Danio rerio: one gene and its partners. The protein of the gene in region 1 purifies or fractionates together with the protein of each later gene. This does not show direct contact. Links are inferred from orthologs where the notes say so. Each region holds a gene or a part of one and is shown in the gene's direction. Other genes may lie near its edges.

What was found. The genes of interacting proteins can lie anywhere in the genome.
Region 2: the proteins of prkag3b (region 1) and pfdn6 purify together in Homo sapiens (affinity purification with mass spectrometry; 3 studies listed by BioGRID and IntAct, with this or other methods). This does not show direct contact. The link is inferred for Danio rerio from reciprocal best matches to the Homo sapiens genes PRKAG3 and PFDN6.
Region 3: the proteins of prkag3b (region 1) and pfdn1 purify together in Homo sapiens (affinity purification with mass spectrometry; 3 studies listed by BioGRID and IntAct, counting the BioPlex papers as one, with this or other methods). This does not show direct contact. The link is inferred for Danio rerio from reciprocal best matches to the Homo sapiens genes PRKAG3 and PFDN1.
Region 4: the proteins of prkag3b (region 1) and pip4p2 purify together in Homo sapiens (affinity purification with mass spectrometry; 3 studies listed by BioGRID and IntAct, with this or other methods). This does not show direct contact. The link is inferred for Danio rerio from reciprocal best matches to the Homo sapiens genes PRKAG3 and PIP4P2.

Annotation. Positions count from the first base shown.
Region 1 is NC_133184.1:14,255,765-14,259,285, reverse strand, and holds part of prkag3b (5'-AMP-activated protein kinase subunit gamma-3b), read left to right. Parts: exon of another isoform or gene 1-230; intron 231-889; exon of another isoform or gene 890-2,758; coding exon 2,759-2,924; intron 2,925-3,021; coding exon 3,022-3,059; intron 3,060-3,521. UniProt on the Homo sapiens protein: AMP/ATP-binding subunit of AMP-activated protein kinase (AMPK), an energy sensor protein kinase that plays a key role in regulating cellular energy metabolism.
Region 2 is NC_133189.1:35,056,843-35,060,062, reverse strand, and holds the end of pfdn6 (prefoldin subunit 6), read left to right. Parts: intron 1-210; coding exon 211-281; intron 282-2,201; coding exon 2,202-2,326; intron 2,327-2,424; coding exon 2,425-2,545; 3' UTR 2,546-2,706; downstream 2,707-3,220. UniProt on the Homo sapiens protein: Binds specifically to cytosolic chaperonin (c-CPN) and transfers target proteins to it. Binds to nascent polypeptide chain and promotes folding in an environment in which there are many competing pathways for nonnative proteins.
Region 3 is NC_133196.1:32,808,130-32,811,650, reverse strand, and holds part of pfdn1 (prefoldin subunit 1), read left to right. Parts: coding exon 1-121; intron 122-200; coding exon 201-285; intron 286-3,521. UniProt on the Homo sapiens protein: Binds specifically to cytosolic chaperonin (c-CPN) and transfers target proteins to it. Binds to nascent polypeptide chain and promotes folding in an environment in which there are many competing pathways for nonnative proteins.
Region 4 is NC_133194.1:33,870,342-33,873,862, forward strand, and holds part of pip4p2 (type 2 phosphatidylinositol 4,5-bisphosphate 4-phosphatase), read left to right. Parts: intron 1-2,462; coding exon 2,463-2,611; intron 2,612-3,521. UniProt on the Homo sapiens protein: Catalyzes the hydrolysis of phosphatidylinositol-4,5-bisphosphate (PtdIns-4,5-P2) to phosphatidylinositol-4-phosphate (PtdIns-4-P).

The DNA of each region.
Region 1 (3,521 bases):
TTGGCTTGGTTGTGTTTATAAGATGCAAAGCAATGTGTGCTCATGCTTCATTGGTAGAAAATCCTGTCATTATTTCAAATATCCAACTTTGATTATATACAGCTACTCAGCTAACATGAAAATGACTGATATATTTCCTAGTTCCTCTGAAGACCCACCCTCAAGAGCCTCTGATTGGTCTTCTAACATAATATGCTGTGATTTACATATCAGCTCTGCTTCATCAGGATGCATTTACATTTACATTTACATTTAGTCATTTAGCAGACGCTTTTATCCAAAGCGACCTACAAATGAGGACAAGGAAGCAATTTACACAACTAAGAGCAACAATGAATAAGTGCTATAGGCAAGTTTCAGGTCTGTAAAGTCTAAGAAGGGAAGTATTAGTAGTATTAGTATTTTTTTTTTTTTTTTTTTTTTTGGGAATTGCAGATTAGGAAGTGTAGTGGAGACTAAATAGTTGAGTTTTTAGTCATTTCTTGAAAGTAGCGAGTGACTCTGCTGTTCTGATGCAGTTAGGGAGTTCATTCCACCAACTGGGCAGATTAAGTGTGAGCGTTCGCGAAAGTGATTTCTTCCCTCTTTGGGATGGAACCACGAGGCGACGTTCATTCACAGAACGCAAGTTTCTGGAGGGCACTTAGATCTGCAGTGAAGTGAGAGCAGATAAGAAGGAGCAAGGCCAGAAGTCACTTTGTAGGCAAACATCAGAGCTTTGAATTTGATGCGAGCAGCAACTGGCAGCCAGTGCAAACGGAATAGCAGCGGAGTGACATGTGCTCGTTTAGGTTCATTGAAGACCACTCGTGCTGCTGCATTCTGGAGCAGTTGAAGAGGCTTGATAGAGTTAGCTGGAAGCCCAGCTAGTAGAGAGTATAACAGAGAGGATGCATCTCTGTTATAACATTACATCGTTTCTGACCACACCCCTTCGCTGCGCAGTTTGTATGTGCATAATCTGAAGGGTTTATGGCATCATTCACCTGTATGTATTTTTTTGTAGCCCCCTAACTTTGTTTGCTGTAGGCTTTGCTAAGCTAACTGTAAAAGCCAATAGCTGCGCCCCAAATCGCATACCTATGCACTATTCTACGCCATTTTGTAGTATAAATATTGAAAGTAGTGTGTTCACACTGAAAACTCTAAAAATAATAAGTGCACTTTAATTACCCGGATGATGCACTCATTCAGCCACTAAAATGAAGTGTGTAATTGTAACGGAGGCCAGTTAGTGAGAGCTGTGCAGGTAAACCTCACTCCTCTGACCTCTAAAGGTGCTCTAGTGATCCACGTTAGAGGCCATGGTCTTTAGCCTCTTTGTTGGAGCAACCGACTCCCATGCGGAAGGTTGCCGGTTTGATACCAGCTTGGAGTGGGTTGGGTGGCGTAGGACCGGCAGGGTTACATTGGTGCCGTGACCCGGATGGGAGTGAGGTTTAGGGGGGTGTGTGTAACGGAGGCCAGCTAGTGAGAGCTGTGCAGGTAAACATCACTCCTCTGACCTCTAAAGGTGTCTAGTGACCGATGCTAGAGGCCATGGTCTTTAGCCTCCTTGTTAGAGCAACCGACTCCCATGCGGAATGTTGCCGATTCGATACCAGCTTGGAGCGGGTTGGGTGGCGTAGGACCGACGGGGTTACATAATGATGGACACTTCATGCAATCAACGACTGCAGGTTTGCTTACGTAGCGGAAAGGGGCAGAGCTATCGGACGCACATGTTCTATAACTTTATTTATTTTGGATGGTGAAAGCAAATTTCTCCTATGAAAGTGATTATAGCGCCTCCCGATGGTGAATGCGGCAATATTCATGGCAGGTATTATATGATAATTCGGTTGTTTATTTCACTGATTGGCAACCGTCAAACGTCATCAGGGAAACGGTTTGAATTTCCGCTTGGTAAAAAAACATTAGTGTGCCATTTGGGATGCCACTAAATACATATACTATCCTGTTGCGTGTGTAAGTGCATAAGTACATAGTGCATGAGTGCATAGTGTATAGTGTGCCATTTGGGACGCAGCTATTGTGTCTCCCTTTGCATTGAACTTTGAGCGTCTTATTAAGAGATGTTGTTTATGTTCACACAGCTACATTAATCATCAACTAAAGTTTAAAATATAATATTGTAGTGGACCACCCCTTTAACTCTTACATTCCAGTCTCATAAAAAATTATTGTACAATATGTCCGTTTTTTATGATTTTAAATTGTGATTTGTATGAAAATGTACAAATCATGCTATTAAAATAATAAAAAAGACATTAAAGACATGATTCACCCCAAAAATAACAATTATATCATCATTTACTGTTTACACCACACTTGTTACAAACCTTTATGAGTTTTTTTAAAGCTTGAAACAGGTAACCATTGACTTCCATAGTATTTGTTTTTCCTACTATGAAAGTGACATGTTTTCAGCATTCTTTTTTTATATTTTAATACAAAAATAACGCTTTAGAACCACTTTTTGTTTGTGTAAATGGTGAGTCCATTTTTATTTTTGGGTGATCTCTTTAAGGTACATCCCTAACCCACTACTAAACTGATCTTACATGAGGGTTTGACAAATTAGCCATCATTTAGCTAATGAAATATGTAATATGGTTAGAAATTACAGATTGTTAATATCCAAAATGACTACAAATTACTTCAAGTGTATGTTTGCCACCATTAATGTGTATCCTAGTACAATGGGTTAAACCATAACTGTGTTTTTAATGATGAACATTTTCTTGGTGAATCTTAGGGCTCGATGATCCCAAAGCCAAGATTCTTACAGAAGCGGATTGAGGAAGTGGAAATCGGGACTTTCAAGAGCATCGCGACTGTCAAGGAGACAGAAACCGTTTATGATGCTTTAACAATATTTGTAGAGCGACGAGTCTCAGCTCTACCTGTGGTCAATGAGCAAGGTACTACGCATAACTGTTTGAGTTAGTTTTTCTGTAGCTAAATGATTTGCACACCTTTTACTTCAGAGTGGTCATTGAGATTTTTCCTTCTCTCTAGGCAAAGTAGTGGCACTTTACTCCAGATTTGATGTCATTGTACGTAGACCCACATCCACACCTCTTAATTAATAAATTTATTTATTTGTTGCTTTTTTTGTTTTTGATTTGTATCATGGGTAACAATTTTTAATTTGGATCACAATTCATAAGATTAACAACTGGCTTAATAATTGACTATTAGTAAGATATTCACCTTTTATAAGGACTTATAAAGTATGATCTTATTTTACAACCCTAATCCCACCCAAAACCTAAACCCAGAACCTTACTTACTTTTAATAAACAGCTATAATTAGTAGTTTATTAAAGCTAGTAATGTTAGTCAATGGTTTGTTAATACTGTGAATTGTGACCTTAAGTGTTACCATATCATGTAATGTGTGTAACTTAAACATAAAGTAATTTTTTATTATTATTAGGCTAAGAGATACACAAATTACCAACCCAGGCTGTTTATGGCTACGTGCCCCTGTATACATTTTTTGAGAGCGTGAATTA
Region 2 (3,220 bases), on another chromosome or scaffold:
GTTCCCTTCCATTACTAAAAACATAGCAATTTCTTATATACATGTTATTTTTAAATTATAAAAATATAGCTTTTTTAAAAACCTTTTTTAAATGTTATTATTCTGTAATGTCATCGTTTATATAAAATGTGTTGGCTGGCATAATTTCTTAGCACTGATTTCTGTAGAGTAGCGATTAGAGACTAAATTTAATGCCATTTTATTTCACAGATGTCAGTAAAAGTATGTCAGCAAGACAGAAACTGGAGGCACAGTTGACTGAAAATAACATTGTAAAGGAGGTAAGTTTAAGAGTGTTCTATATCTTTTATGGTACATTTCAGTTAGTATATGGTTAGATTTTAAAAAATGCTGGGTTCCACACAATTGCTTCATGTTGTCCCAAATCGAACGGATTAAGTTAACTTAAATGTTTTTACAAACTGAAGTGCATTGAACATAAAACAATTAAGTTGTCGCTAAAAAAACACAAGAGTTGTGTTGTTTCAGCTAATTTTACAAGTGGTTTGAACAAGTAGCAAAAATCCTTTTTTGAGTGTATGATCAAATCTATACAGGGCTGCACAATATTGGAAAAATCTGATATTGCAATCTTTTATTTTTCTGTGATAAATATTCAATAGTTATACAATATTTAAATTTATGTATAGTTTCACTAGATAATTTGAATAGCCCTATTTTCTATTAGTTTTATAGGGAGTTAAACAATATTCAGGAACAGAAATTCAGTAATCACAATACAAAAAAATATATATATATATTTTTCTTGTCTCGTTTCTTGTCCAAATATCTAAAAAATCTTGTAGATCAAGTAAAAAATATTCTTATGAAAGAAGATTCTTATAAAATGAGAGGTTTTCCCTTAATACATGCTAAATTATCTACCAATGAGGTCATTCAAATTCCTATTTCCTCTTTGAAATTGAGATATTTGGGCTTGAAACTAGACAAAAATTCTAAGTAAAAAAAATTTTTTTCTTACAAATAATTAAATTCAATTAATTTTACTTAAACCTCTAAACATCATTGTGCCCAACCTATCTTGAAATGCTCAGTCAAAGGCCTTAAAAACACATACGCTGATTTAACTTAGCAGTGACACAAATCAGATGTGTTCTGTGGCTCCTAGACACCTGTAATTCAGACTCAACATTGCAGATCTTGTGATGGGTCTATTGCAGATGCGCACATTGTCAAATCGATGCTGAAATGATATACACTACCTGACAAAAGTCTTGTCGCCTATCCAAGTTTTAGGAAAGGCAAATAATAACTTGACTTCTAGTTGATCATTTGGTATCAGAATTGGCTTATATGAAAGGCAAAGGCCTCTAGATTACACTTATTTTACCAAAATAAAATACGATCATTAATTAGGACAAGAAGGTCTGACTTTGCTTAGACAAAAGTCATGTCACTTAACAGAAATAATGTACAGTATAGAATATAACGTCATGGTGCAGTGGAAAAATAATCAATATTGTGTATGGCTCTCATGAGCTTGGAGGTCTGCATCCATACATCTCTGCAATGATTCCATTAACTTATTAACAATGTCATCTGGAATGGCAAAGAAAGCGTTCCTGCAAGACTCCCAGAATTCATCAAGATTATTTGGATTCATCTTCATTGCCTTCTCCTTCATCTTACCAAAAACATGCTTAATAATATTCATGTCTGCTGACTGGGCTGGCCAATCTTGGAGCACCTTGACCATCTTTGCTTTCAGGAAGTTTGTTGTAGGGGCTGAAGTATGAGAAGGAACGCTATCCTGCTGAAGAATTTCCAGTTTACCCTCTCCTGTGGTTTGTAATGTAATGGGCAGCAAAATGTCTTGATACCTCATGCTGTTGATGTTGCCATCCACTCTGCAGATATCTAGCACACCCCCATACTGAATGTAACCCCAAACTATGATTTTTCCTCCACCAAACTTGACTGATTCTGTGACAATATAGGGTCCATGCGGGTTCTATTAGGTCTTCTGTAGTATTTGTGATGATTGAGATGCAGTTCAACACATGATGATTCATCAGAAAAATCTACCTTCTGACACTTTTCCAAATTATCAACTAGAAGTCAAGTTATTATTTGTTGCTCTTAGAACTGGGAAAAACGTCAAGACTACTGTCAGGCAGTGTTTTGTGCAGCCCTACTATACACATTCATCATGTTATATCACATCTGCCATCCCTCTTCAGGAGCTTGCCTTACTGGATAGCCAAAACACAGTTTACAAACTAATTGGACCGGTTCTGGTCAAGCAAGATCTAGATGAAGCCAAGGCCACAGTGGGAAAGAGATTGGAATACATCAATGGTGAAATGTAAGTATGATTAATGCCAGCTCACATTACGTTTCATTGAATGCGGATGCCGCAGTTGATTCTGATGTAACTGAGTATTTCTCTGCTCTTCATCTCAGTCAGCGCTATGAGACTTTATTGAAGGAGATGGAGAGGAAGTCTGAGCAGCATCGGGAGGTTTTGTCCAGTCTCCAGCAGGAGTACCAGCGGGCTCAGGGTCAGGCTGTTGCCAAGGCCTAGATGGACCATAATTCTGTTTGGGACACTGGTCTTTTCCAGCGGAACTCAGAGACTGATTGCACCTGCTAAAAACACATGCTTCTTCACATGTCTATTACAGTTCTGTAGGCTTTTTTTGTTTGTTTGATGCTATTAGGCTATCAATAAATCTTGATTATTTATTTTTGGTGTCCTGCTGTTTATTTTGACATGCTGAGAGTGAGATTCAGAGCATGCTAATCCACAAATTTTTGTAATGGGTTATTTTGTGATGCAGGTCTAAGCTGAATAATTAAAAAGAATTATTAGCTTAGCTTTTGACTAAGCGTTAAGTTATCATTAAAATAAAGAACATGAATAGGGTATATATGCACACAGACTAGGGTTGGATTAATATACGATGCCATCTCGTAGACATCAAGATGCTGAGCCAGCATCGCGATCCTCCACCCTGCCCCCGTCGAAAACCTGCTCGTGAAAAATACACACTTAGGCCCTTTTTACACTAATGCGTCTTAGTTTTAAAATGCCATTTTAGAATGAAAATGATTCACGTCCACGCTGGTGTTTCATCTAGCATTTCTGAACAGCCCGTCTGAGCTCCAGGCAATCAGCAGGTGCTTTGAGCGCAAAACCCCAGAGAGCAGTGCACGTTGGAAAGTTATCTAGGATGTACCGCTAAATTGTGTCTCACTA
Region 3 (3,521 bases), on another chromosome or scaffold:
TGAAGCTGGCAGACCTGCAGATCGAACAGCTGAGTCGTGTAAAGAAGCACGCAAATCTCACGCATGGAGAGATTACATCACTTCCTGAAAGCACTCGGATGTTTGAGGGAGCAGGACGGATGTATGTATAATTCTGGAGGTTTCAAATCTGGACCCTTTACTCTCTGTTGTTTTGACCTTCTCTTCCTTCCTTTATTCAGGTTTATTTTGCAGTCAAAAGGTGAGATCTCTAATCAGCTTTTGGAAAAGCAGAAGACGGCAGATGACAAGATAAAAGAGCTTGAGGTAGGTTATGAGCAAAAAAACAAATATAGTTGCTTATATTAAATCTACTTGTCCGACAAAGAACTGCTTATCAAAATACAAAGGATAGGTCACCTTATTTTAACATTTTTTACTTGCTGTTAAAAAAAATCTATGAAAGTCATAATTAAATAAGATATACACTCGGCGGCCACTTTATAAGGTACACCTTACAACTATCGGGTTGGAACCCCTTTTGCCTTCAGAACTGCTTTAATCCTCCAGGGCATAGATTCAACAAGATACTGGAAAATTTCTCAGAGGTTTTGGTTTATATACTGACATGATAGCATTATACAGTTGCTGCAGATTTGTCGGTTGCTTATCCATGATACCAATTTCCCGTGCCACCAAAGGTGCTCTGTTGGATTAAGATTGGGGGACTGTGGCCATCTGAGTAAAGTGAACTCATTGTCATGTTCAAGAAACCAGTCTGAGATGATTCATTTGACATGGCATGTTATCCTGCTGGCAGTAGCCATCAGAAGATTGGTACACTGAAGTCATAAAGGGATGGACATGGTCAGCAACAATACTCGGTCAGGCTGTGGTGTTGACATGATGCTCAATTGGTACTAATGGGCCCAAAGTGTGCGGAGAAAATATCCCCCACAACATTACACCACCACCACCAGCCTGAACTGTTGATACAAGGAAAAATAGATCCATGCTTTTATGTTTTTGATGCCAAATTCTGACCCTACCATCCAAGTGTTGCAGTGAAAATCGAGACTCATCAGACCAGGCAACATTTTTCTAATCTACATTTGCGCCCACAGAACTGCCGCTCACTGGATATTTTCTCTTTTTCGGACCATTCTTTATAAACAATAGAGATGGTTGTTTGTGGAATGCTCAGTAGATTAGGTTTCTGAAATACTCAGACCAGCACGTCTGGCACCAACAACCATGCCACGTTCAAGTAATTTAAATCACCTTTCGTCCCCATTTTGATGCTTGGTTTGAACTGCTGCAGGCTGATTAGAAAAACTTGTGATAACGAACAGTTGGATAAGTGTACCTATTAAAGTGGCCGGTGAGTATATATATATATATATATATATATATATATATATATATATATATATATATATATATATATATATATATATATATATATATATATATTTATATATAAGTATATAGAAGCTTCTGGTTTTTCTAGTCTTTTGTGTTCATCAAGAAAAAGAGATTAAAAAAAAATTGAAAGTGAGTAGATGATGCCAGAATTTTCCTTCTTTTATCATCTTAAAATTCTGAATGGATTGTAGTGTTTTTAGTATCCATCAGCTAGGAAAATGCTAATGAAAAGCATTAAATAATTAAATGCTAATGATAAACAGAACATTATCATGCATTAGTGTGGATGCAAAAGGTTTTTTTCTTTTAACAATAAAACTGTGGGTTGGGGGGGGCACGGTGGTCTCAGCAAGATGGTTGTTGGTTCGAGCCCTGAAGGTGTTTCTGTTTGCATGTGCTCTCCGTGTCTGCTTGGGTTTCCTCCACAGTCCTAAGCGTGCTGTATAGGTGAACTGAATACACTAAAATGGCCATAGAGTGTAAATAAGAGAGTGTGTAAGTGTTTCCCAGCGCTGAGGGTTGGGGATGGGCATCGGCAGGTAAAACAAATGCCAGAGTAACTGCAGTTCATTCAGTGGCGACCCCTGATAAAGCAGGAAATAAGCACATAGTTTGTACGCCACGCAGTATCAAAATCACAGCAATTATACTCTAATGTAATATCACAAGCTGCGTCACACATATAGGAGGTTTAACCTGATTGGTTAGAACACAGATAGACTTAGACAATCTCAACATGTGTGCGTAAAATTCTAAACAAAATCACCAATGATTACTTTGGCGACAAGCAAAGAAGTCTCCTCCGATGAAGAACACACACACACACACACACACACACACACACACACACACACAAAGAATGCTTATAGACTTCAAGGATGTCTTGTATCTTATCAGAATGGTACAATAAACATCTTTATACTGGCAGCTAACTAATACAAAGAAAGTCTCTCTCATACAATAGAATCTCAAAAGATTTGACAGGTTTTTGTTTTCATCAAAATCCAGTTTCATATGAGAGGTCGTAATGAATGAGCCTGAAGTTCCTGAGGAAAACGCATAACTTGGCATACAGAAATAACAACGAGACCCATATCATTCCAGTTTTACTTCAGTTTTCAGAGTTTATACTCATATTGCTTGACGCTTTTTGCAAGTTTGGCATCCTATCCTGGGAGAAAACCCTGAGCTTGGAGATGATTGAGCATGGCTCCTGCCTTGTCATTTAGCATAAATGGAGTCCAAGATTAGTTAGATCTCAAGAGCTCCCCCTGGTAAACAGAGGAAAAGGAGGAGATGGGGCGGAAGGGGTGATTCTTCCATAACAAAGATAGGGCAAGTAAGGTGAAATCAGTCTATTTATTGTAGACTTGGATCGATATGATTAGATTATCGCTGCTTACGGACGAGAGACCAGCCGCGATCAATCATATCACGTGCTCCTGTCAAAATTAGTTTATAAAATTTTACTTAACCCTATGGTCATCATATAATCTAAACATTTAGAACAAATTCAACTTTATTGATAATCATATCACAGAAAGGATCTTTTGCCAGTCCTATAGCTGTCATCATCTAGATACCCACCCTTTCAATGCAAACTTTGAGACAACCAGTCCACCCTATTATTGTAAAATGATTATTTATTTAAGCTCATCGCACACTGGATGCAAAATTCCACACCACGTCTTTTAGAATAGTAAACATTGTCATCTATGAGAGTACGCTCATCAGCGTCAAAATTTTGCCTTCTTTTCTTTTTTGTATTTCTTAACAATGTTTTGTTTTTTTTTTTTTTTTTAAAGAATACAATGTAAAGAGGGTGTGTGGAGTGTCTGGACCCCCTTTTACACTATACTTTGTTACAGCAAAAAGTATTTAGTTACTGTAATGCATTACTTTTCTAACTCATAAAGTTCTAACAATGGCAATCAAAGGTGACAGATTTTAACTAAGATCTATTATAGAAATCTTTTCCAAAGTTTGACTCAGATGACCAAATAATGGCCAAATTTACATCATAAACTCGGCTTTAGTGAGACCTGAAATGGGATTGTCAGACAAATAAGAGTGTGGGGTGGGGACTTCAGAAATTCAGAAAACGTATAAAGTGCATAAAATGTATATGTAGGTAAGAA
Region 4 (3,521 bases), on another chromosome or scaffold:
ACTTTGATTCATTTTTATGGCTCTGTGATTGAGAAAAAGGATTCTCCTTGGTTTTTATATGGCTTATTGGTCAATTGTGGCATTCAAAGTCAAAGATTTTTGTGTAATGACCGCTAAATTCTTGTGAACTGCTCTTCTTTCATGTCTCTATTATTCCTCTGTGGTTTCTTTCTTCTCACATAATTGAGTTATTTAAACTCAAATCAATATTTCATGCTCTTTCAATTATGTATTTGATAAATAGCCATGCAATAGAGGAATAATACATGGAATAATAGAACTGAGCTGGTCATCATGGCAAAATTAGCCTCTTAAACAAAACCCAGTCACCCTGTCTGGGGTTATTTTGCAATAATGGCCAGCTGAATGTACGTTAACAATCCAATACTTGCACTACTCAAGCCAGTTTATACTTTACTTCTATAAAGTTAAAAAAGTCACACATGGATAGGGTCTTTTATGCAGACAATAAGCAGATAATGATACAAAGTGTGGGTTTATGGATTGAACTCCACTCTAAAAAAATATTGTTTAGACCAGTAGTTCTCAAACTTTTTTCACCAAGTACCACCTCAGGAAAACTTGTCTCTTCAAGTACCACCATAATGACTGGTATTGAAATACATAGTAAGCCTAATTAAGCGGCTACTGCACAGTTCACAAATGTGGCAGATTGATTATTATTATTATGAATATTTATTATTGTCAGCCACTTTAAACATAATAAATACATAATAAATATGTGATAAATAAAAATGTGATTTTAAAAGTTAATTAAAAATAGCACTGTTCTTAAAAAGTTCAAAGAAATCTGCTGTACTTAAATGTAAAGTATTATCATAAACAATTACAGGTGGGCCCCACGCGGGCTAGCCAATGTGGTTGGATATAGGGCATGTGCCCCAGTAAAAATCTATGATCATAAATAATTACAGGTGGGGCCCATGATAACAGATGTCATAAGTTATTTCATAGAGTGTAGCTGATTTATTTATGCAGTAGTATTATTAAAGTAAAAAAATATTTTAAAGTCAACATTACATAGACACAATAATAGTTTGTTTTTCACTGTTGTGAAGTAAATCCCAGTGACAACATCTCGAACATGAGAAAATGTACTTGATTTTGTAACTTTTTCAGTAGTACTGGATTTGAAAATATTTTTCCCATTGTTTTTTATCTTAGATCTTTTGATTAAAGTGTTATGATTAAAGTGTTATGAGCCACAAACCAAACCAACCAACTGTATGGTGAATCACAACATTATGAATTTCATTTGAAGCAAAGAAACATATAAAAACATGATAAAAACAAAAGTACAAGACTTGACAACCTAATAGAGGCAAAGAACTACAATCCCATGAAGTTATGCAAATGTTACAATTTAAAATGATTGGAGAACTATACAATTGTTCATTTAAAGTCGTTGGTTGTATCCATCATGTTTCAAGCATGCTTCATGGGAGTGGGTGGAGCTGAGTTTGCAATGCACTTTGCTACCTGCACCTCTCTGATTGGTAGAAATTGTCAAAGTTAATATGCAAATTTGAGCAGAAAAAAATACACCATGTTGTACACTACATCATGTTAATAAATTCTACTATTATTTCTTTATAGAGCACTGATAGGAAAACCCTGCATACTCACCGGGAAAAAATCTGGAGTCTTACAAGACCTGTCAAACTAGGCCTGGGGGTTATTAGATCTTTGAACTTTAAATGACTTTTTTATTTGATTGTAATCACTGTCAATAACCATATATGATTCCTCAAAAACTTTTCTTAGTCAGAAAGTTACAGCAAGCAAAGTGCACAAAATGAGAGATTGCTTTAAAATAAGTTGAATTCATGTGAACATATACAGTCGATTAACAACCTCTGCATGTCTTTAAAGTTTTTCGGTTATTGTTAAAAACTACAATTTCTAATTATTTTTTTACTATTATGTTCATAACCTGACTTTTGCATTCTGTAGGGAATTTTGTTGTTTTAAATAATTGTCAATGTCATGTGACCATGAATGTTCATCAATTTTGTCCTAACGATTGATTATTAAACAAATGATTTTAAAAGGAGATTTGTTGTTATTAATTTTTTGCACTGTTATATTTTATTCTAACTTACATGATACATGATGTTTTCAGAGCAAATTAGAGATTTCTGTAATTCTATGTAAAAATGTTTTTGCTCAAGGAAGATACTCACCAGTTGATGGTCATATAAATAAGTGTGTCCTTGTTTTATCATTAACTGTGTGTGAAAGATTAAGGGTCTTTAACATAAAACCAGTAAATGTTTCTGAGCATTATGCACATAAATCATTGCTTGTCTTTTGTTTATGTGCTCAAACCTATCATATGTGAAACCTATACTGCACAGCAAATAACTACTATCAGACAATTGATCTATTATTGTGACAGGTCAGCTGAAAGACTGTATTTTGTTTTTTGTCTTCATCTGCAGCTGAATTACCTCCGCCCTACACAGCCATTGCCAGTCCAGATGCAGGAGGAGTGCCAGTCATCAACTGTCGAGTGTGCCAATCTCTTATAACTCTGGATGGCAAACTCCATCAGCATGTGGTGAAGTGCACCGTCTGTAATGAGGCCACGGTAAGAGAACCTGACTGCAGATAGCGCTTAGTCATGCACTCCTTTAGTCCACCATCTTTCTCTTTGATTTAATAACCAAAAGCTTTTGCCACCTCACTTATTTTTTTGCATGTTCTCACACTTTAAAAGTTCTGATCATCCAACAAATTTAGTCAAAATTAAGTCAAAGAAAACACAAATAAACACTTCATGCAGTTTTTAGTTTTTAAATAAAGGCTTTTTTATTAAGGGAAAACAAAATAAAAAACTACTTAGCCCTATGTTTAAAAGTGTTTCCACTATTACACCCCCCCCCCACACACACACACACAACCCTCACCTGTTTAAACATAACTTAACTCTGGTTTATTACACCTGAGTTCAATTTTTAGGCTTGATTATGGCTACACCTGTTCGAAGTCAAGAAATCACCTAAAATAGGACCTGCCTGACAAAGTGATGTAGACCAAAAGATCCTCAAAAATTAGACATCATGCAGAGATCTAAAGAAAACTCAAAAACAAGTTAAGAAAAAAATATTGAGATCTAGAAAGATTTGGGACTATAGCAAACCACAGTGAGAGCTATTATCTACTAATGGCAAAAACGTAGGACAGTATAGAATTTTCCCAGGAGTGGTCGGCCACCAAAATGACCTGCGACATCTCTTCCAAAAGGTTAGAAAAGAAGAATCCAAAGAACTGCAGGCCTCACTTGCCTCAGTTAAGGTGAGTGTTCATGACTCTACCATAAGAAAGAGACTGGGCAAAAAGTGTTTGCATGGCAGAGTTTCAAGACAAAAACCACTGCTGAGCAAAAAGAACACAAAGGTTCGTCTCAGTTTTGGGAAACACTTTGGGGAAAATATTTTGTGGACTGATGAGACAAAACTTTTGAACGGTTTGTGTCCTATTATGTGTGGCATAAAAGT